3 linked regions of the Arabidopsis thaliana genome follow. The protein of the gene in region 3 binds, or shares a complex with, the protein of the main gene of each other region. Each region holds a gene or a part of one and is shown on either strand. Other genes may lie near its edges. The genes, in order: AT5G11470, AT1G05970 and EDM2.

Region 1 (7,921 bases), about 19 Mb from region 3:
CCGTGACCTCACCAGTGAACCATAGTTAAACACATCTTTCGCCATCATTACTTTTTTTCTCACTTATTTGTCGTTTTGTGCTGACTCAGATTTTCCTTTCTTTTATTTCATGATGACACGTGTAATGTCCATTTCTCTTCCAATACGGTGCGTTTTGGTCTCACTACCTGTGCTGGCTGTGCATTCTGTTTTTTTTTTTTTAATTAAAATTTTTATACGCCTACCGAAAAATTCCTTTTGCTGTATTTTATAACAACGCAAATTAAATAATACGGAGTATTTTTAAACAGTAGACTAGGCGAGATTTTTCAGAAGATTTGGTGCATAATAGTGTGTAGGTGTGTCTGATAAGCCATAATTATTTTCAATATAACCTTTTCGTTTTTGGATCGATTATGTAATTAAGGCTGATTATTAGTGATTACACCTTTCTGGTTGCTGGAAATATAGGAGGCAGGAGAACGAAATGTCGTGGAGAATGTACCTTCTTCAAAAGATGTGTTGTCGGTGATTACCTTTTTTCACCACAGAAGCATCAACCAGAGGCTACTACTATTAAAATTGCATGATACGCTAATTAGTGAAATGAAGTAAAATTTATTTTATTCTTTGGCGAGGCCCACTTAGGGAGCTAGTAAGACCCCACTATTTTATTCTTTGGCGAGCGAGGCCTACTTGCCCATCATATTCAAGTGGATATGGAATGAGTTGAAACTCTTTTTCAGATGACAAGAGACGGGCTTAAGTGGTGAAACAACTAGTTAGGCTAAAAGGTGCATCATAAGGAACTTTTTTAAACCCCTAAAAGGTCACAATTACTCTCTTGACCTTTCCTGATCCACACAAAAGTTTAGCACTTCACTAGTGAAACTGACCCTTACAAAAAAATATGTAACTACAAAAGGGTCGTCCGATTTGAGACCAGAAGCCGCATCAGTATATTCCTCCTAAACACAAGCAAGAAAGAAACAGCACAAGTGCAAATTATTCACCTTTTCTTGTATATTTTGATTTGTATGACATCAAGCAAAAATATCATAAAGAAACCAGGTGTTTACCGAGTCAAAGTTGGGGGACTGGATGGCATGAAACCAAAATTCTTGAGTCTCACTGTCTTTAGAGGCTAAAAGAGACCTTGTGTTTTTCCTTCTAATCTACAGTTGGTGATATTTCTGTCTGAAGCAAAGAAAGTAAGTGATCATTTGGTTCGTTTAGATGATAGACATGTAGATAAGAGCTAATACTTACACGAGAGTGACAAGATGATTCTGAAACTAAGGAAGTTTCAGCTTGAAGTTAATCCGCAGCGACTTCATCTCCTCCAATTGCCGCTATAAGGGTTTAAGGATTCAGTTATTCTTAAGGAATTGAAGCACACTTTTTTCTCATTTTTCCAAACAGTTCCAAACAGAAACTCATGTTTTCAGTAAAATAGTGGCAATAATCGTCTAGACAATCTAATTACCTTAGATACACTTTCAGACGCCTGCTCGTGTCTGGCTTGGTGCAAACACCATTCCATGGCCATGTCAAATTCAAGGTTGTTAGGCTGAGAAGAATGTGATGTAGCCACGGCATCTCTCTGGAAAAACATATAAAGACCAAAGAGCAAGAAGATTAGTAACGTAACAATGCATTTTTATTTGTGTGCATTATGCAAGGGAAAGGGAAATGAAAACAATACCATCTCCCGTCGCGTTTGAGTTTTGTGTAGTTTGATATGGCCTGAGAATAATGACGGCTTCCCTGGTGGAGTAATCTTAGCGAAAGAAGCAACAAGGGGCCTGTTGAGCAAAAAAGGCACAGCAGAGATTTCTGAGATGAAAGTATGCCAAAAAAATGGCACTGTACATCTCTGCAATTTATCATAGGAAGCTTAGAGAAAAAAGAAGAATATGTCATTTCAGGTTCACCTCCCACTTGATAGCAACAAGCATCCCTCATCTAGTCTTCTAATCACCCTTTCTGCAACTTCTCTTGTTTTGAAAATGACCAAAGCTTCACCTGTATATCAAACAATATGAGGTGCTCTTCATTCCATTTATAGTATGTGAGAATCATAAATTAGAACCCGGTGAGTAAAATGGTAGCTTACCAATATGAGGAATAGTGACTGATGTACGCTCTATCATCCTCGCTTCGCATTGCTGGTTCAAAGCAGAATAGACTATATCCTGAAATACAATTCATAAATTTCTTAGGTTGCATAAAAAGAGAAAAGAAGGGAGGTTTCCATGAAGTAAATCAGGAAACAACTGCATTACATTAGGTTACATTGAGTAAGCATATACAATATACATTTTAAGAGACTCCTAAATGTTGTTGAAAAAAAAAGAGACTCCTAAATAAACTGTAATACCTCCACTTCATCAGATGTATAAGTAGGATCCAAGTTTTGAAGAAGTACCACAGTCCCTTTTTTTTCTGCTTCCCTCATACTTTCTTCCCAAGGCTGGACATAATTTAGACAAATTAAAAAGTCAGTCCATAATTTCTGATACGACGTACAGAATCTGATAACAATTCAGGCTAGCTAGAAGAGACTACGCCAGCCAAACAAAAAATAGGTGCGGATAGAGAAAGTAAACAATTTGACTGCAGATTCAAAAGTAAACAACTGAGTCTCTCGAACATAGAAACGATCAAGAAAATACACTACTTTCTGAATAGCATATGAACGAGACGTTAACAATATTAACAGGTCACTCTACTAACATCATAAAACAAGCATGTCAAACACGAAAATGGAGGCAACCAAAAACGACATTTACAGAACTGGGGTGCAAAAAAAAGTTAAGGAAAAGATACTTACAAGACTCCGGAACCATTTACTTTTTCCCTGAAATAAATAAGGAAACAAAAATCTGTTAGATAAACCTCAATGTTACCAAGCATTGTGGTAACATAATAAGATGAGAAGAATGACAGAACATCACTACAACTATACAACATACAGTGTGAAGGACTGTAAAACAAAACTGCTCCTTTTAGAATTGTGTTCTTGCAAAACCACATCCTTGCATCTAAAGATTTTACAACACGCTCTGAAATCTCATGAAACAGCCAGTTCCAAACCAATGTAAACTAAATCATATTGCAGGAAACATATAGTAAGTATAAACTTACAGCATCCGGCCTTCGGCACACTTCAGTTACTTGATAGTTTCTTTCATTATCATCTGCCGACATCTTGTCCTCAGCACGTCCAAAGCTGGGCTTCTTGGATATACCTTTTTCAGTTACAGTTTTTGTAGTTTTTCCTTCAGATACTGACACTACAAGATCTCGGTTCTTAACAAAGCTGCGCTTTTCGGGAGGGACTTCCTCTATAGTCACTTTGTCTCTAGGTCTCTTAAAAGATCCTGTATCCTTTTTACCATCAGAAGTAATGTTCTGCAAAATGGTTGTATCCCATCCATCTCGTACTGTAACAGAACCATCAAGTTTCTGTTTCTTCAGAGGCCTGTCATCCAATCCACTCGACTCTTGACTATATCTTTCTCCAGCGGGCATAGATTTTTGTTTAGTCAACTGCTTTTTAACATCATTTTCTTGAGCTTTCTTTGAAATGGAATGAATTGTCCTGGAGCCAGAAGCTTCAAAAGAGTTACTATATCTTTCTTCGCCAGGCATAGATTTTTGTTTAGTTAACTGTTTTTTAACTTCACTTTCTTGATCTTTGCCATTATAATGATTTCCCCTAGAGCCAGAATCCTTGTTAGACCTTTCTTCTGCAAGTGTAGATTTTTTTATAGCGAGTTGGTAGTGACCTTTTTCTTTCTCTTCTTTGCAACCATTACTGTTTTCTTTACAGTCAGAAGATTCAAAAGCGCTGTCTTCGATTTTCCTAACTGAACCACTAGCTCCCCTAGCTAAAGGACCATTTGGTTTCAAACTATCTGACTTCCCATTTACGTCTGCTTCAATATTCTGCACCGCAGTTGCTTCTTTCTCAGAGCACGCTCTGTTAAAGATAAATTTAACTGCAAGAATTAGAGTGAAAAGAAGATATGATGTAAATAAAGAATCAAGATAGCTATTGAGTAGAATGTCAAAGCTATCAACTAAGATGAAACAAATTGTACCGTCAACTCCAGCAATCTTATCATCAATCGTATCCACAACTTTGCAACTTCCAACATCAAATGCTCGGCAAAACACGAAGTCCGCTGAGTTGAATTTTTCATCCGAGGGTTGTGGATTTCTTTTGTCTTTTGAAATGCATAGAACAGAGCATTTTCCACCGATTGCTTCCTAGTGAAATAATGTCATATCAGTATTAAAGCAGGTGTAATTTTAACTAATCACTTGCACCAGCTATTCGCACAATGGCACAAAGTTCAAACGAATATTTCAACCAAAAAGTGAAGCAAAGGTAAATCTCTCAAGACACAAGGACATGTTTGATTCACCATAGAAAGACGCTTGTAACAATGTTAGAAACCAACAAAAGTAATTGATCAACGTATTTCTGTTTGGGGAGCTTTGGGATGAGATCTATGCCATGGTTACAAAAGAGGACAAAAAAGCTACTTGGAGCACATATGTTGGTGAACAGAGAACAAGTTATCCTACCGCAAAGAATATAATATTCAACAAAACAAAAGTGGATGGACAATATAATTTAGTACGCAGCATAATATGAGATACATATCAATAAGAAAATGCCATGACATGCTCAATAAGTACTATGGAGAATGAAAATTCAACATAGTATGCAGAAGAATAATTAGTTACCAATTGGTTGGTATTAGCAAGGCCAAGACCTTCACCCGATGCTAAAAACACTTCATTGGCAAGTACATTCGGGACTCCTTCAAGATATGGCGCAATCTCAGAAGGTTTAAAGAACCAGAGAAGCTTGACTTTCTTTGGGATATGCTTATTAGCGTGTTCCCAAATTTTTATGATCATGCCAATGAAGGGTTCAGTAGAGTCTGGTTCACTGGCATTGCCAACTAAGACACAGTCATAAAGACGGTATTCATCGCCATCATAGGTGAAAGATTCATAGAACTGGACATCTTTCTTTTTCCCACCAACACCTTTCTTTTTACCCCACTTAAATTCTAAGCCTTCAGATGCTACAGATTCTTCCATTCTCTAAAAGCAATTTTCTACCTAGACAAACAGCAGAATAGTGTATCCAGATCAGAATTGCACGAGGAACTGATTAGACGACTGAACATATATCCACAATCGTTCATTTAAATGGTTGCATTGATAAATCGAAAGGAATACAAGAATTCCAACAGAAGATCAAACTCGTTTTCCAAGGATAACCGAGAGTACCCTTGACAAGGTGCAGAACACTTCAAGGACTTAAAATACTAAGACCAGAAGACACATAAAAGGAAAAAACCATCACAAGATAGATCAAATCAATGATCCACCATATACTCCCAATCAATCAAACCAAAATCACTCCCGAAACTCTATCAGATCCACTGTTAAACAAGGCAACACATTAATCTTTCAATTGAAATCATTAGCATTGTGCATATAACCAAAAACCATCCAATACATTCTTATAATGCACCATAACCAATCCATAAGAAACTTTTAAGTATTCAGTACTCAGACTAACGTTTAGTAATGACAAGGCTCTCTAAAAAAGCACGCAAGTCCACCAAAAAATACCGAAAGCAGCAAATCAGTTGATCAACGAAAGAAACTCCGTGAGAACAAAGAACACTAAATAAAATAGTAGATAATTGAGTTCAAGTAAACAAAAAGGCGATTCAGAAAAATCAAAAGATCACCAAACTACGCAATTGCAAAAAAGTGATAATATCATTTACGCAATGTAGGTTGAGATAAGCTTTTGCGTTCGTAAGAAACAGCGATTAACTGGGAAACAAAGAAGACGAAGTACTTTCACCAACAATTCAACTTTTTTTTTACCTTCACTGAAGAAATCAGTTTACAGTTTCCGAAGCCACCGAACGGAAAAATGGAACCCTAGCGAAATCAGAGTGACGCGAGTTCGATTAGGTCAAGATGAACAGAAATTGACGAAGCCCAGGTTTATCGCAGAGGGAGAAAAAAAAACCCTAATCCCTCGTTTTACCGGTTACTACAGTATCTCTCCACTTTATCTATCGCTAAAGTTCATCATAAACAAATTCAAATCAAAATCTCTATAGAGCAATTCAGTTTTGGTCGAAGATTGTTCTTGTTGTTGCAGTTTCCAGAGAGAACGGTAAGTTCATGAAAGCTTTTCTCCTCCCATTCCCCCTTTCTCTGAGATTTTCTCTGTTACTTACTTTTTTAAATGAGTTGCACAAAAGACAGAAAGTAAAAATGATTAGGTCTAAAAAAAATACATTGAAATTGAATTATGCACAAAAGAAATACGTAATTTTAGAGAAAATATATTTGAGCAAAGATTTTTACCCCCTAAATACAACAATTTCTTTATTTTATTTTTTCTATAATAATAAATTTCCAATTTTTTTACACATGTATATGTGAGATACGGTCTGATCATATATACTAACCGTTAAACAAGATCATGGAAATTTAATCATATCTTCTAACTCGAATTAGTGAGCTTATATCATAATTTGTTTAGAATTATCCCTGATAAAAGTAGTTGTGGTATAAATGCTACATCCCTATTTTAGACTCTTACTTGTTTTGATACTTAAAATTCAAAATCAAAATCATGGAGTGGAGAAATTTATTGTTCTTCTAATGACTCCTGTCAATGGTCACACGTTTTAAAAAGATGGTGTCTTTAACAAAGCCAATGGACTGTGATTCTCACCATTCACCAATGCAATATTAATCACATACTCTCTATAGTTGAATGTGTTTTAATTTTCTGGAACACCCATTAATCTTTTGGCAACGGAGGTCAATATCAAGAAGTTAAGCTATCTATGCTTTTCACTTTTCAGTAAAGGATACAGAACAATTTTTGTCTCATTAAGGCCCACTACCAAAAAGGTCTGAAGAGTTGGGTTTAGGGATACTAGGCTGTTATATGGGCTGCTTCTAGGGTCTCGTAAAAAGAAACGGCGTCGTTTTTCTGTCTTTTAAAAGTTTTTTAAAAATGCGGTGAGCGTGGATCGAACACGCGACCTTCAGATCTTCAGTCTGACGCTCTCCCAACTGAGCTATCCCCGCTTGATGCTTATATGCTTAACCTTTTATCTATATTTCCTATATTTGCGAATAATTTTGTTGTTTTTTTCGTTTGTTTGTTGATTTTTACAAAAGTTTAGTAGAGTCCGAATACATTACAAGTTGTAACACAAATACATTAAACAAAATCTCAGCGTTGCATTAATCAAAGACAGTGCCCAAATAATTGGTACACTAACTGTTAGTTTTGTCGTTTTACACTAACTGTTATATAAGTCTCCTTATAAAAAGATAATATGGAGAAGTGTTGTTTTGGTTCTCAGTGTTTGAGCCAGTAGTTTCTTAGCTGAGCCATATGCAACAATATCTCGTCCCGACCTTGATTCGTCACACTGCTGGTCATAATCCATGGCGGTGTTGTCTCAAAGAACCCTTGGATCAAGTCTTGGAACTCCTTTATGTTCGCCTCCGGTTTCTTCCCTCCATTTTTCTTCTTCTTTCTCTTGTCGCATTTTGTGAATATCAAAGTCATTGGAACCTGAGAGATATAGATAGCAATCATTCATTTCACAGAGACATTACACAATTAGTACAAGTCTTGACCATGATTGCCAATTAATGGGTTAAAGTGGGGTTTTCAAGGTTTAGGTACTTTTTATACCTGGTTTTGACCAAGCCAGCTTGCATACTCGAGATCGATTGGCTTTACAGGAATGCTGGCATCAACTAGTAAAAACACCGAGACCAATGTTGATCGATTTAGAAAATAGTCTTTGGTGAATTTGTTCCAGTCTTGTTTGAGTTCATGCGGTGCTGATGCATACCTGGATAT
Region 2 (4,236 bases), on a different chromosome or scaffold from region 3:
CGAGCATTTTCTTGTAGCGTTTAACGGGATGCCTAGACCTTGCCCTCAAAGAAGGACAGAAGAAACAGAGGTTACCACAGGCGGGCAAAACCCGTCTGGACATAACCCCCATTTTCTTCTCCGCCTAATATCCCCCCCTGCAAATATCTCTATATCTTAAGACTAAATCTTTGAAAGCAACAATTCCTAATTGAAGACAACAACAACAGAGGAATCAAAGAAAACCTAGCAGCTGCGATTTGATTGGCACCCTAAATTCAATATCTAGTTACCAAGATCGCAATCCGGAGAACCCTGAAAACCCAGAACAAAAAAAGGGAAATTTAGAATTTTCGATCCCGGAAAGGAAATAAAGGAATCAAATTCAGAGAAATTACAAATCCAAATTGGAATTAACCAGGAAAAAAGAGAGAGATAGAGATTGAAGAAGGAGAGAATTTTACCAGGAAGATGGGGAAAAGCCAGAGAGGCAGCTTGGGGAGAAGAAGGCAAATCTAATCCCGCTTGCCCGCTCAGAGGTGGCATTGCTCTTCTCTCGTCTTTTTATCATTATTTTATTTAATCTCTCCATTTCATTATTAAAAAAGCTCTCTCTCTCTCTTCTTTCCGCCATTAATGTCGGAAAGTGTCAGTCCGAATTCCTCTTTAAATTACCAATATACCCTTCAAATATCTTGTAATGGATCCACTAGTGCTTATGTGATGCGGGCTATATACGGTCCGAATTTTTGAAGGTTGTTTTCTGCTGAATGGATCCATTGACTAGTCCTCTATGATTCTTGACAATTGTTCTTTTGATCTTTTCTTAATTTTTCTTGGTTTTTAATTCCCTTCAGAATTGGTTTGGTGGTTCATGACTAAACCGAAAATTATTATATTCGCTTTACACAATTTTTAGTTTGGTTAATAGTAATACAATTCAAATGTCTGATCCAACATAGAAATCAAGCTATCTCATCTCAAATGTCATACACTACTCACAAGACTTAAGAACCGGGAATGTAGAAAACCAAACGCCAAAAATCTGAAATATCAGAGAGAGCAGAATATGTGTCTCTAAAGCTTAAATCTTGTTTTGCTTGAGAATTAGGCATTAAGAGGAGAGGTCAAGGTAAACTAAAGCAGGGACTTTGATTATCTCATTTACACGCTTCTACTTGTTTCACATAAATGAGAATGTGGAACATTCTTCATTACGAGTTAAAGTCAGAGCGCCTACAGCAAAGTCAGCTCAACCAAAATAGACACTGCACAAACTAGTGACATAAGGAAGTTCTAAGCAAAATACCATATGCAGTCTCTCTCTACCGATAAGGAAAACCTTTCAGGTCGTAACGGCCAGCCAGTTTCTGAGCAACACCATCGTAGAGGAGTTTATCCATCATCTCAAACTTCTTGTGATGTGTTACCGCCGTCTCAGCTTGCTGTTTCGACAGCTTCTCTGCCTCCTCAAGCTGTTTCTGACAACAGAAGACAAGAAAACACATTCACACAATAGCACACAAGTCTTCATTAACACTATCACCGCCAATCAGATCCAATACCACAGGAAGAGACAACAAACAAACGAAAACAAAAAACAAAAAATATAAGCACCTTGAGCATGAACGAATTTTCAGCACTATGCTTACGAGCAAGCCGCTTGACTCTCCTGGCCTTGTCGAAATCAGGATCGTTAGGCTTAATCCAGCGAAAACGGACCGTTCTACCAGGCTTCTTCGGTTTATCAACAAACATATTAGGCTCAGCAGCACAAGCTCTCACAGGCCTTGGCATACCAGCAACCATGAAAGGTAACTGTGAGACAGTAGAGATAACAGCCTGTGTCATCTCTTCATTCTCCATCTCAACAAGAACACCCATAGGAAGCTCCTTTGGACCCAAGTAGTTAGGTATGAAGCTGACTTTCTTGACAGTCCCAAACTGATTGAAAGCAGATGAAATAACAGGAGCTGTGGCAAGAGGCGTGAGTTCGTCTACGTAGACAGTACGACGAACTCTCTCTAGGAACTTCTCATACGCTACTTCTTCCGGAGTCGCCATCACTAACCAAATTAAGAAGAGAAAACGATAAACGAATTTAAGTTCAAATAGAACAAACCCCAAATTGATTCAACAGAGTTACAATTTCCGTCTTAAATATATGCAACGAATTTTCTGGAAAAACAAAAAAGAAATCGGGGCGAAAATCTAGGGTTTCTCAGAGAAATGGGAATGAAGAGATAGTAGCGAAATCGATGGGGCATTGATGAATAGAAGGATAGAGATCAAAGAATTACCTGAACTGGAGAGAATTCGTGTTAAAGGCGTCGTCTCTGGAAGTAACTGTTAAACTCGTGTCAAAGGCGTCGTCTATGGGGGGAGACGAAATAAGGAAGAAGAAGTAAGTTAGGAGGATAAATGACGACTTTTATAGATTTATATATTTGTTATTGGATTCCATTATCAATGGCCCGTATAGCTCAGTGGTAGAGCGTCAGTCTTGTAAACTGAAGGTCCGTAGTTCGATCCTGCGTGTGGGCACTTTTTTATTTTTCAACCTTATGCAATTTTATTTTTTTCCTTTCCCTGTAAATTATAAAAAACATGTAGTTGAAATTAAATAAGATATTTTTTTTTTTGTAAGTATTAAATAAAGAGATTTAGTGAAAGCGATGCGACTCATTGTAATGTATCAATTTTGGATCTCTTTGTAGTTTTTATAAAACAAAATCTTTTTAGGATACTTTCATTGGCCATAAATCATAATAGTGGTTCACCACTTCATTAGAGTTTTTAGCTGTTTTTCTTTTAAGAATCAAATATTAAATCAAATTCTGATTTGATCAATAATAAACTGTTATTTAGCTAATGCAATTGTTTAAACTGATAAATGTTTGGAGCTAAACGTGCAACCAATATCCTCGAGGTGGGGAGTACCTGCCTACCATTTACTATCTAGTTTTTTAACAGCAAAATATGTCTTATTTAACTGGGATAAATGTTTGGAGCTAAACGTCACTAAAACTGTTCTTGATTAATTGTAACTGGGAATTAATTACGCTAACAATAATTTAAAACGAAACATATATTTTGCGTATACTAATGTTAATTCAAGAATGTAAATTCCAGGGTATTTGTCGCAGTTGTTTATACTAAATATTAATTCGCTCAGATTCAAGAATGTAATTATTTTACAAGAATTTTGTTATCTACCTTCAAAAGGATACACAAATCTATCAGATTATATATTATTTGAATGTTGACTCAACTTTCCCCCTAGTACTACTGTTTCTTAATTCTTACTTTTTTGTTTGGTGAAAACAAAGTATTAATTAAATTCCCACTATATATATAACAAATTTTAAGAAAATAATTAATTCCATAAACTCATAGAGTTGCATCCTTTTAAAACCCTCAACATGTCCATCTCTACCGATTAACAATATCAACCAAAGGCATATCTTTTTATCTCCTTCTTCCTTCCTATTTTTGGCTAATGAATGTCTCTTTGTTGCATCTCTTGTAACTTCCTCCTAGATTTTTGAATTCCTGCCCTTATCCAAGAAGCCAGGAAAGGGTAAAAGATTTTCTCGGCCTCGTGGAGCCCTCACCATTATCTTTTCTTCCTCCACACGCAACACTACAACTTTAAAAGAGATGGATCCGACAGAGCTAAAACGCGTGTTCCAAATGTTCGACAAGAACGGGGACGGGACGATCACGGGGAAAGAGCTGAGCGAGACACTACGAAGCCTAGGGATTTACATCCCGGACAAGGAGTTGACTCAAATGATCGAGAAGATCGACGTGAATGGTGATGGGTGCGTGGACATAGACGAGTTTGGTGAGCTATACAAGACGATAATGGACGAGGAAGACGAAGAAGAAGAGGACATGAAAGAAGCTTTCAATGTGTTTGATCAGAATGGAGATGGGTTTATAACGGTGGATGAATTGAAGGCGGTTTTGTCTTCCTTGGGGCTCAAACAAGGTAAGACCTTGGACGATTGTAAGAAGATGATAAAGAAAGTGGATGTTGATGGTGATGGTAGGGTTAACTACAAAGAGTTTAGACAAATGATGAAAGGCGGTGGTTTTAATTCTTTGTAGCTAATTAATATGGTTTTATTTTTTTCTGGCATTTTTGTGTTTTGGGATCCTTGATTTAATTAATTATATTGTCTTAGGAATGAAAGACACAAAAGAAAAATGATCCTAGTTTACTGCATTCTTGTTCTGTTTTCCTAGTGAATA
Region 3 (8,128 bases):
TGTCCTCTCTAGAAGTTCTCACAGAGCTAGGCCTATCCCGACTCACTTCAGGTTTTCCAGTGCCCTGCACTTTACAACCATGTTCTCTAATATTCTTTCCCAAGTTACTTTTTGTCCTTGTTATTGCAGGCAGAGATGCTTCTACAGCCTCGTGAGATCTTTGAGGTGTTGTAGTGGAAATTGATGTGCAGACAGCATATATATCATCTGGGGAAGACCTAACAGGACTCTGCCAATCAGATGTCATTTCGGGAATTTTTACTTTGATGCTCTCTGGTGCTCTACTCAACTCTCCTTGATCCTCTTCCATGTCATTGCTCTTCCAATCCACATTATTAGAATCCATAGATTTCCCAAGCTTCCTACCAGAGTAGTCTTTGGTCTTTCCCTCCTTTTTCAGCTGACTTCTCCGTGACAAGTGATCTGACTGATGTACACGTGCTACAGTTTCTACTGTGTCGATTTTCTCAGAGACTAAGATTTTATTAACGCATTCAGCTACCTCAAGTTCATCCTTTTCCATAGGAATATCATCACACATGCCATCAGAAGCTCCAAGTGGATGCAAAGATGCGTTTGCTTCTTCTTCCACTATCTTTAACTTTGAGCTCCCCACATCCCTAGACAAATGGCAATGCTTCTCCGCTATTTTCTTGTGCTTGGCTGCAAAGTCGGACCGACTCCAGAGAGAAAGTGGCGGAGGAACAAGGTTCCAGTCTTCCAATTGCTTGTCTTCTTCATTGACAGAACCAGGCAGGTAAAATGACTGAAAGGAATAGGCAAGAAGCATAACATGTAACTGAAACTCAATAAAGGCTCAATCTCTCAAAAAGCAAAATCAAAAGAAAAGCGAAAGATTTACATTTCCAGATAGGAACGTCTTATCCTCCCATATAAGCACATATGATGACTTCTTTTTATCTAACCTGTTGAGAAAAGTGATAGATTTAACAAGAGAGAGAGAGAGGAGTCGATATATTAGTGTTATGGAATGGTACAGAGGAGCAGATGAGATAGATGGAAACTGAAACCTTTCAGTCTCGGGAGGAACAATGAGAATGAGAATCTTTGGGCGGAACTCAAGAGCCTTGGTAATAAACTTGTTTGCAAGAGAAGCATTGACTCCAAATGGTGGATTTAGCCCCATAATCTACTCATAATTCCAAAAATATAAACAGTCAGATACTACTCAAACTATTTCAATGACACTGGAGCTTACACAAAGTTCATACTAAAGGAAATTTGTGTCTTACCAGCTTTGAACCTGGTTCCAACTCATCTTTACTTACAGTCATCCAATCCTTTCTCTCAAAATTGAAATTATTCTGAAAGTAAGATAGCTAATCAATGAGTAATCCTAGAAGACTGATGAATAGAACACACCACGATCTAACATATGTTGCTTCCGTATCAGTGATAAGACTTTACAACTTACGACAATAGTAGGCACACACACACAAGTCATTACCTTCGCTGGAAAAAGATCGTAATTTTTATATAAGCACTTCTTCCCCGTTTCTTCAAGCTTCGCGTTCATCAGACAGCTAAAGTCATTAGAACCACAACAGAAGTCGACAATCTGTTGGAAGAGATCCCAGAAACCAGACATCATTGTTTATGCACAAGACATTGATCATTATACTAACAAGATCATACTTCAGAATATAAGAAAAAAACTTAAGAGAGGTAAACAAAATAATAAAATTAAACCCAACAGATAACGTTTGTGAGCAAATCTCACCATATCACCATCATCTGCATACCAATGCAGCCTATCAACAATCTGCACAAAAAGTAATAATAGGTCTGGTCAGGTACAAGCTTCAGATACAGGAGTTAAAATTTGACAAGAGTGTGTAAACAGCAGGTGATAGTCACTAGTCACGCAGGTGACAGAAAGTGTAAACCAACAGCATAATAATCCTCACAGAAGACAGATTAAGTAAGCTAATTGGAAAGACATAACATCCTACATTTTAAGAGTCATCTCTCCTTGAATTTTTTTCTTTCTCACTAATTGACTAAGTGTGAACCGAAAATCCTTGTAACATACAGGATGCTTAGACCTAAATCTTGTTTATGCTTTTAAGAGGATAGATTACCTGTTGAAGTTTTTCAGGATTAGTAAAATGACGACCAAATGAGGTATAGCGTGCACCATGGAGAAAAGGAGCAAGATAAACTTTGAGCTTATCCTGAAGCAAAAGAAATAAACATCTACAGGATTAGCAAAAATTACTAGTTACAAACAAAGATAAATAAAAAGGATGTCGAAAAAGCTAAGCTAGGACCTTCCACTTGAGGATTTGGCTCAGAACCTCTGGCTCACAAACTGCTTTTGCATCCTCAATGTTTCCTCCTTCCTCAAGCTTTTTTAGTGCTGTTCTGATAGCCTGAAGAACCAAAATTTTAAATTCATAACTAGAGGGTTAAGAGAGGCCAGATAGGGATCGGGTTCAGATTTTTAGCCCACCTGGACTGATCCCTCTACCTTCCCCATAGTGATTGTCTTGTCCACAACATTCCTTGTGGAGTGTGTACTCATAGTAGATTGAATTTTGAATTTCTTTAAAATAGTACCCATAGTTATTTCTTCCGTAGCTTTTTTCATCACTGCCAAGAGCCTATTGACAAAAGTAGATTACAATGGAAGAAATTTACTAATAGGCCCCAAACAACAAAAATACAAACCTCCTTTGAGAGTCGTTGTCTAATGTAGGAATTTCACTTCCTGGCTCCTTGGAGGCAATTGAGTCAGTCTTATTGTGCTTGCTATCAACAGGAATCACGCGCCCAGGTTTTACTGGATTAGGTTCCTGGGTATAACTAAACAACCTCTCACCCAGTGAAATCTTGCTTTTACCAGCATCACGGGCTTCTTTTACTCCCAGCTTGTTTTTGCCAGCTTCACGGGAGTCTTCCATCATCTTCTGGGATTTTTGTGGAACCATTTTATGCTTTATGGATGGATCAATATCCTTACGTTTCCTCGAATGATCTGGTACGGATGAAACTAATCCATGCTTCTTTGTGGAGAAACCATCTTTTGAAGAAGGAAACGAACTTCTAAAGGAATTCTTAGAAGCTTTTCCACAAGTATCTTGTAAGGCAGGATCCTTAACCTTAAGTCTTGCTTTATCTCGTCCCACATGTGATTCCAGTATCCTTCTTTGCTCTTTCACGAAGACCTTCTGCTCTTCCGTGAAAGGAAACTTAACATGGTCTCTAACTGGTGTCAGAAGTTCTTCATCTATCTCATGTTCTCTAGGCAAGGTATCTCATTCAAAATAAGTGTCTCAAGGTAAATAATTATAAATTCAAAATACACCATATATGAATCTTACTGGCAATATATGAGTACACGGTTGTGCAAGAGTCCGTCCCATGCCCTAGTTAATATATCCTCGTCCTCAATATCTTCAAAAGAAATTTCCCTAGAAACCAACAAGACAGTTATTCAAATAGAGTTCTGAAATAGCAATAGAAAATGAATGATGAATGAATGAAGGTATACCGCGGTAGGCATTTTCTATGGTAGGACTTTGGACAACGCCGGCAAACAGCAAATTGCAAATTAGAGTCTGTCTTAACCTCTCCGTTTTCACAGACACTGCATTTGTGCAATGGGCATGTATACTCTCCAGCAATGATTTGTCTTTCTAGTGCTTCAGACTCTTCTTTATTTCCTAAACGTAGCCGTCTTGTGACACAGTGAGGATGGTAAAAGTAGCCACAGGTGGCTGACACGCATTGGAAAACCTATGAACATGTTTAAAACACAAAGCTCAACCAATTACTTGTCAGTCACCATTATCAACAAAACATGTCTGAACAGCATTCAACATTAGAGATCAATAATTGCATACCTCTGCTGCTCCAGAAGAGTTATCAGAAGAGCCAAGGTTCTTGCAAATGAAGCATTGATGTATCTTATGCTCACAGTTTGGGCAAAAGTATTTCTGAATTGCCTGGAAAACAATCCATAAACAGCATTAACATAGACTCCATGCCTACTCAAGAAAACCAAGACGCCCAGACATATTCAGAACTAATGAAAGAATCATATATGTTACATACTTCCACTTGCATCTTGTTAAAGCCAAGAGAATCACAAAGTGAATCTTCACCATCTTTTTTGGTAGCATGAAATGATCTCAGGCAGCTTCCTTCACAACTGCAGAAAGCAGAACACAAGACTTATGCATCTGGAATAATAACAGTGTATCTTTAGAACCTTTGAAGGCCTCAATTGCCTCAAACGCTGAATTTGCGTTTGCATGTTTCACAGTATTAAAACATTTTCAGTGTTTCATAAAATATTTTTGCAAATGCCAAACGCAAACAGAAGGTACGCTTGAGTTTCAAATTAGCAAAGGAAATTGTTCAAGACGCTAAAGGTTGTAGACTATTTGAGAAAATTCACACTAAATGTAAAAGCAAACGCTGGCATAAACGCACACAAATAATCAAGGCCTTATTCTAATAAAGAAAGTAAAAGGTGTAAGACTAATTATCAGAGATAATCAAACTACAAGATCAATATCCAGCAAGGAAACATACCACAAAATCTCGCCACCATTGTCACATATTGCACAAACAGACTCAAAAAAATCATCGTCTTCATCATCCAATTCATCTTCATCGGAAGCTACATAAGTGTCCTCATCTCCAACTATGAAATCATCTTTTGCATTGTCCTAATAAGTAATAACAAGTTCGTATCAGAAACTAAGACCGTGTGAAAGTAAGGGAAAAAAAGGGAAACGGCACATTAGGAAAGAGTACTCAAGTGGGAAAAAAGATTCGAACCTCGTCAGGTAATCTCCTTTTGGTAGGCTTTTTTGTGAGAAATGCAAGTATAAACTAGTAACACAAGAAAGAAAAACAGCACAAAATTAGGAGAGAATCAGGGTAAGAAAATGATACATATACAGAAAACATTCAGGCCAGAAAGCGAGCTAAACTCTTGATAACAAATATGGGCATCACAAGCTCTCAGGAAACAAAAGCTACAACACCTATAAGAGATTTAATGGACTCTTCTAATTCAAAAATCCCAAAGACCAGAAACTCTGAAAATTCTCCATACAAACCTTCGAATTCGCCAAATTTCTATCTCTTTTCGCAGCTTCAGCGATTAAACCAATATGATCCACCAAATCATTCTGCGATGGCTTCACATCATATGACCTAGAAACAACATCCAATCACTAAAGTTAAAAACCAAAAGAATGAAAACTCCCAGAGAGAAGAACAAAAGACCTGAAAAGCACAAATCAATCACCTCAAACTTCTAGTTAATTTCTCCCAGAGAGCTTTCTCGGACGCTTGGGGATTCCTCCTAAGAAACTGAATGGAATGCAACGTGACCAAAACAGTTCTAATCAATTCCCCATAGCTTTTCCTCGGTTCCTCAAGCTTAATCCATATATTATCCTTCGTAAGAACAGAAATCTCAGGCTGGAAGTTCGAAAGATCGTATCTCCAAGCCTTAACAAGCTTATGCAGAGGCAAAAGGCCGTTATCAGATCTTCCTCGCAAGTAAAAACCTAAACCACTACCATCAACTTTCTCCTCCACGCTCCATTGAATTGGGAGACGAGCAAACGAAACAGGCTCTTTATCATCATCTTCGAAATAATAATTGGAAGCTGATTGAGGAACAGAGAAGTCTTCCTCTTCATCATCGTCAACGAACGTCATTCAATCCCAAAATTCCCTTAACCCTAGAGACGTTTCAAAACACAAACGATCAAACGGGACACAACTTTCTCCTAAACCCTAAAAGAAATAGAAATTCAAAACTCGAATTAGGGTTTCGTTTTAGGAGACACAATGAACATGAATTGGACAATGAAGAAGACGAATAGCCTGGACATTTAAAGTCCTTCAAAGATTGGTACATCCAAAAATTGAGAAATTGAGAAAACGGAATTGAAGAAGTAAGCGAATGAATTGATTACGAAGTAGAAGAAGAGAAGTGATAAAAACCTATGAGAATTATCGTCTCTGTGTGTTGATGGAGATTATACTATGACGCAATTGAATCAAAAGAGAGTAAGAATTGAGGAAAAAAAAAGAGTAAGAATCGTCGTCGTCATTATTTTTTTCCAAGTTTATATACTCGCGCACGTGTGCAAGCAACGCCGCTGAGATTGTGTTTTTGTTTTTTTTTTAAATATGACAAATTCTTAACATAATTCGTTTTTTTTAGTTCCCTTAAATTTCGTTCTACAAATCTTCAGCATAAAATACGAATAAGACCGAGAATATTATATCCCTCTCCTTAATTAATATTTCGTATAGATTTCTCTATTTAGGGTTTTTATTGGATAACTATTATTCGAAGCAGGTACGTTTAAATAACAAGTCATGCAAGAAAGCATGCGCCTGGCTCTTGTAGCACGTTTGGTCTGCGATGGCACTGCAAAGTGCAACGTGTGACTGGTTCGACGCTCGAGCCAGGCATCAGCAGAGAGAGAGAGAGAAGAGCAAGCAACACCAAACAACAAAAACAATAAGTCGATAAATATAAATCATTTGAGGTATTCTTAAATATCTCTTTTTTGTGTTTTAGCCGACAAAACGAATGCAAATCATTCCTTTTCAGCACAGTTATAATTTTAAATGACATTATTTTATGAAGATAAAAAACAATGACATTTTAATGTTTACTCCATAAAATATTTTTATCTTTTTATCTTTATTGTTATTGTGGTAACAAATATAGTTTTTATTTAGTAGTAGTAACACAAACAGAGGTGATGTGAAAAAATATTACAAAGCAACTCTGTTCCGGCAAAGATAGTTCAGTCTTGTTGCTCTATTCGTTAGCTGCTTCCTCTGAGATGGAGGTGATATCTGACAAAATGTCTGCGTCATTGTCTTCTTCTATCGTTAGGCTCGAGACTTCATTGTCTTCTTCTATCGTTAGGCTTGAGACTTCGCCATTTAAAGAAGAGACTTCGTCTTCACCCGTGACAGATGGAGCTGGTGAAGCATCAGTGCTCGTGCATGTGCTAGTGCATGTCGTCGTCGTGCTATGAGTTGATGATGAGTCTGAACTCGAACTTGAACTCTCTGACGATGATGATTGTTGTTGAAGGCTCCAATACATTATACTTGCCGTTAGGATTAGTATCATCTTTTGATTCACCTGCAACAAAAGACATTTAAAAACATCAGATTTACATTTTGATGTATGTTGTTTTCTTGTTTCGGAAGATTTGATTCCGTTCTTTACCTCCACGATATCTTCTGGCAACAAGAAAACCGAGCAACCAAGCTTTCTTGCTACGCTGACAATGTATGTAGCATTCAATCTCTTCTCATCGTCTGTTACAAAGTTTCCATAGCGAAAAAATAACGATTAAACAAATTCAGTTTGAACAGAGAAGAGAAAGAGAGTGAAGAGGTTGTGAGTGTAGTTAGAGAGAGTAAGGACCTGATTCACCCTTGGTGACAAGATTCCAGTTAACAACTCTTGGCTCAACCGCCCATAGAAGATCGAGGAAGAATAATCCGCTCGATAGACTTTTATCCTATTGAAGTTTAGCAAGACAGATTTTGTTCAACATAAGCTTGTTCAGTTGAACTTTTTTTTTTTGAGTTTTGATAAAAGTAAAAGATGGAACCTTGAAGCTTTCGATCTGCGATTTCCGCCCCATGATTCTGACTTTCCTGTTAGCCCAGCTTATGATTTCTGAGTCGGTCATGTCTTTTCCTCGTGTCCGAGATCTTAGACTCTTGAGAAGTTGGAGCATATGTGTTCTCATCAACTGCCATAAGAAGCCTGAGACATGTATACACACCTTTAGTGTTATACAATTTCTAAGACTGTTGAGCATCTTAACAAAATAAACATTTTTTAGCTAGCTAAGAAGAGTAATTACCGAGGATAAGCTTTTTATTTCCTTGAACAATGTCATTTCCAGCTACATTTACGAGCGAGAATCTCATCTCTTTCCCAATCTTCACGACTTGATTGCAATTCTCTACTTTTCTAAACGGCATCTTAATTGGTGGTTTTGAAGCCTGCTTCCAGTTAACTGAGCCTGGATAGACCTTATCAACAACTTCCAGAAGAATCCATCTGCATCAGAAATATTCAGTATTGAAAAACTTATAA

What was found.
Region 1: EDM2 (region 3) and AT5G11470 share a complex: the UniProt entries of both Arabidopsis thaliana proteins name them as parts of the ASI1-AIPP1-EDM2 (AAE) RNA regulatory complex.
Region 2: EDM2 (region 3) and AT1G05970 share a complex: the UniProt entries of both Arabidopsis thaliana proteins name them as parts of the ASI1-AIPP1-EDM2 (AAE) RNA regulatory complex.

The regions. Positions count from the first base shown.
Region 1 is NC_003076.8:3,661,942-3,669,862, forward strand, and holds AT5G11470 (bromo-adjacent homology (BAH) domain-containing protein), read right to left. Parts: upstream 5,983-7,921; 5' UTR 5,905-5,982; intron 5,122-5,904; 5' UTR 5,101-5,121; coding exon 4,738-5,100; intron 4,255-4,737; coding exon 4,086-4,254; intron 3,984-4,085; coding exon 3,127-3,983; intron 2,840-3,126; coding exon 2,813-2,839; intron 2,453-2,812; coding exon 2,360-2,452; intron 2,175-2,359; coding exon 2,096-2,174; intron 2,005-2,095; coding exon 1,914-2,004; intron 1,785-1,913; coding exon 1,685-1,784; intron 1,583-1,684; coding exon 1,466-1,582; intron 1,332-1,465; coding exon 1,276-1,331; coding exon of another isoform or gene 1,275-1,275; exon of another isoform or gene 1,249-1,274; intron 1,177-1,248; exon of another isoform or gene 1,111-1,176; coding exon 1,059-1,110; intron 948-1,058; coding exon 816-947; 3' UTR 776-815; downstream 1-775. Other genes in the region: AT5G11480 (P-loop containing nucleoside triphosphate hydrolases superfamily protein), read right to left, coding at 7,409-7,627, 7,751-7,913. UniProt on the Arabidopsis thaliana protein: Collaboratively with AIPP1/EDM3 and EDM2, the AAE complex regulates alternative RNA processing (e.g. alternative splicing) and epigenetic silencing (e.g.
Region 2 is NC_003070.9:1,814,949-1,819,184, forward strand, and holds AT1G05970 (RNA-binding (RRM/RBD/RNP motifs) family protein), read right to left. Parts: upstream 2,389-4,236; 5' UTR 2,280-2,388; intron 2,046-2,279; 5' UTR 2,044-2,045; coding exon 1,597-2,043; intron 1,461-1,596; coding exon 1,305-1,460; 3' UTR 877-1,304; downstream 1-876. Other genes in the region: AT1G05960 (ARM repeat superfamily protein), read right to left, coding at 1-112; AT1G05990 (EF hand calcium-binding protein family), read left to right, coding at 3,640-4,092. UniProt on the Arabidopsis thaliana protein: Prevents gene silencing by suppressing CHG methylation as well as histone H3 lysine 9 dimethylation (H3K9me2) status at target loci.
Region 3 is NC_003076.8:22,448,712-22,456,839, forward strand, and holds the start of EDM2 (ENHANCED DOWNY MILDEW 2), read right to left. Parts: upstream 6,095-8,128; 5' UTR 5,704-6,094; coding exon 5,285-5,703; intron 5,191-5,284; coding exon 5,094-5,190; intron 4,864-5,093; coding exon 4,810-4,863; intron 4,698-4,809; coding exon 4,561-4,697; intron 4,175-4,560; coding exon 4,078-4,174; intron 3,969-4,077; coding exon 3,867-3,968; intron 3,760-3,866; coding exon 3,515-3,759; intron 3,435-3,514; coding exon 3,345-3,434; intron 3,265-3,344; coding exon 2,692-3,264; intron 2,625-2,691; coding exon 2,474-2,624; intron 2,394-2,473; coding exon 2,292-2,393; intron 2,196-2,291; coding exon 2,103-2,195; intron 1,784-2,102; coding exon 1,742-1,783; intron 1,580-1,741; coding exon 1,469-1,579; intron 1,326-1,468; coding exon 1,254-1,325; intron 1,151-1,253; coding exon 1,032-1,150; intron 927-1,031; coding exon 863-926; intron 767-862; coding exon 1-766. Other genes in the region: AT5G55400 (Actin binding Calponin homology (CH) domain-containing protein), read right to left, coding at 6,824-7,156, 7,244-7,335, 7,445-7,541, 7,635-7,792, 7,893-8,092. UniProt on the Arabidopsis thaliana protein: Cellular antisilencing factor and regulator of genome DNA methylation patterns involved in the regulation of chromatin states.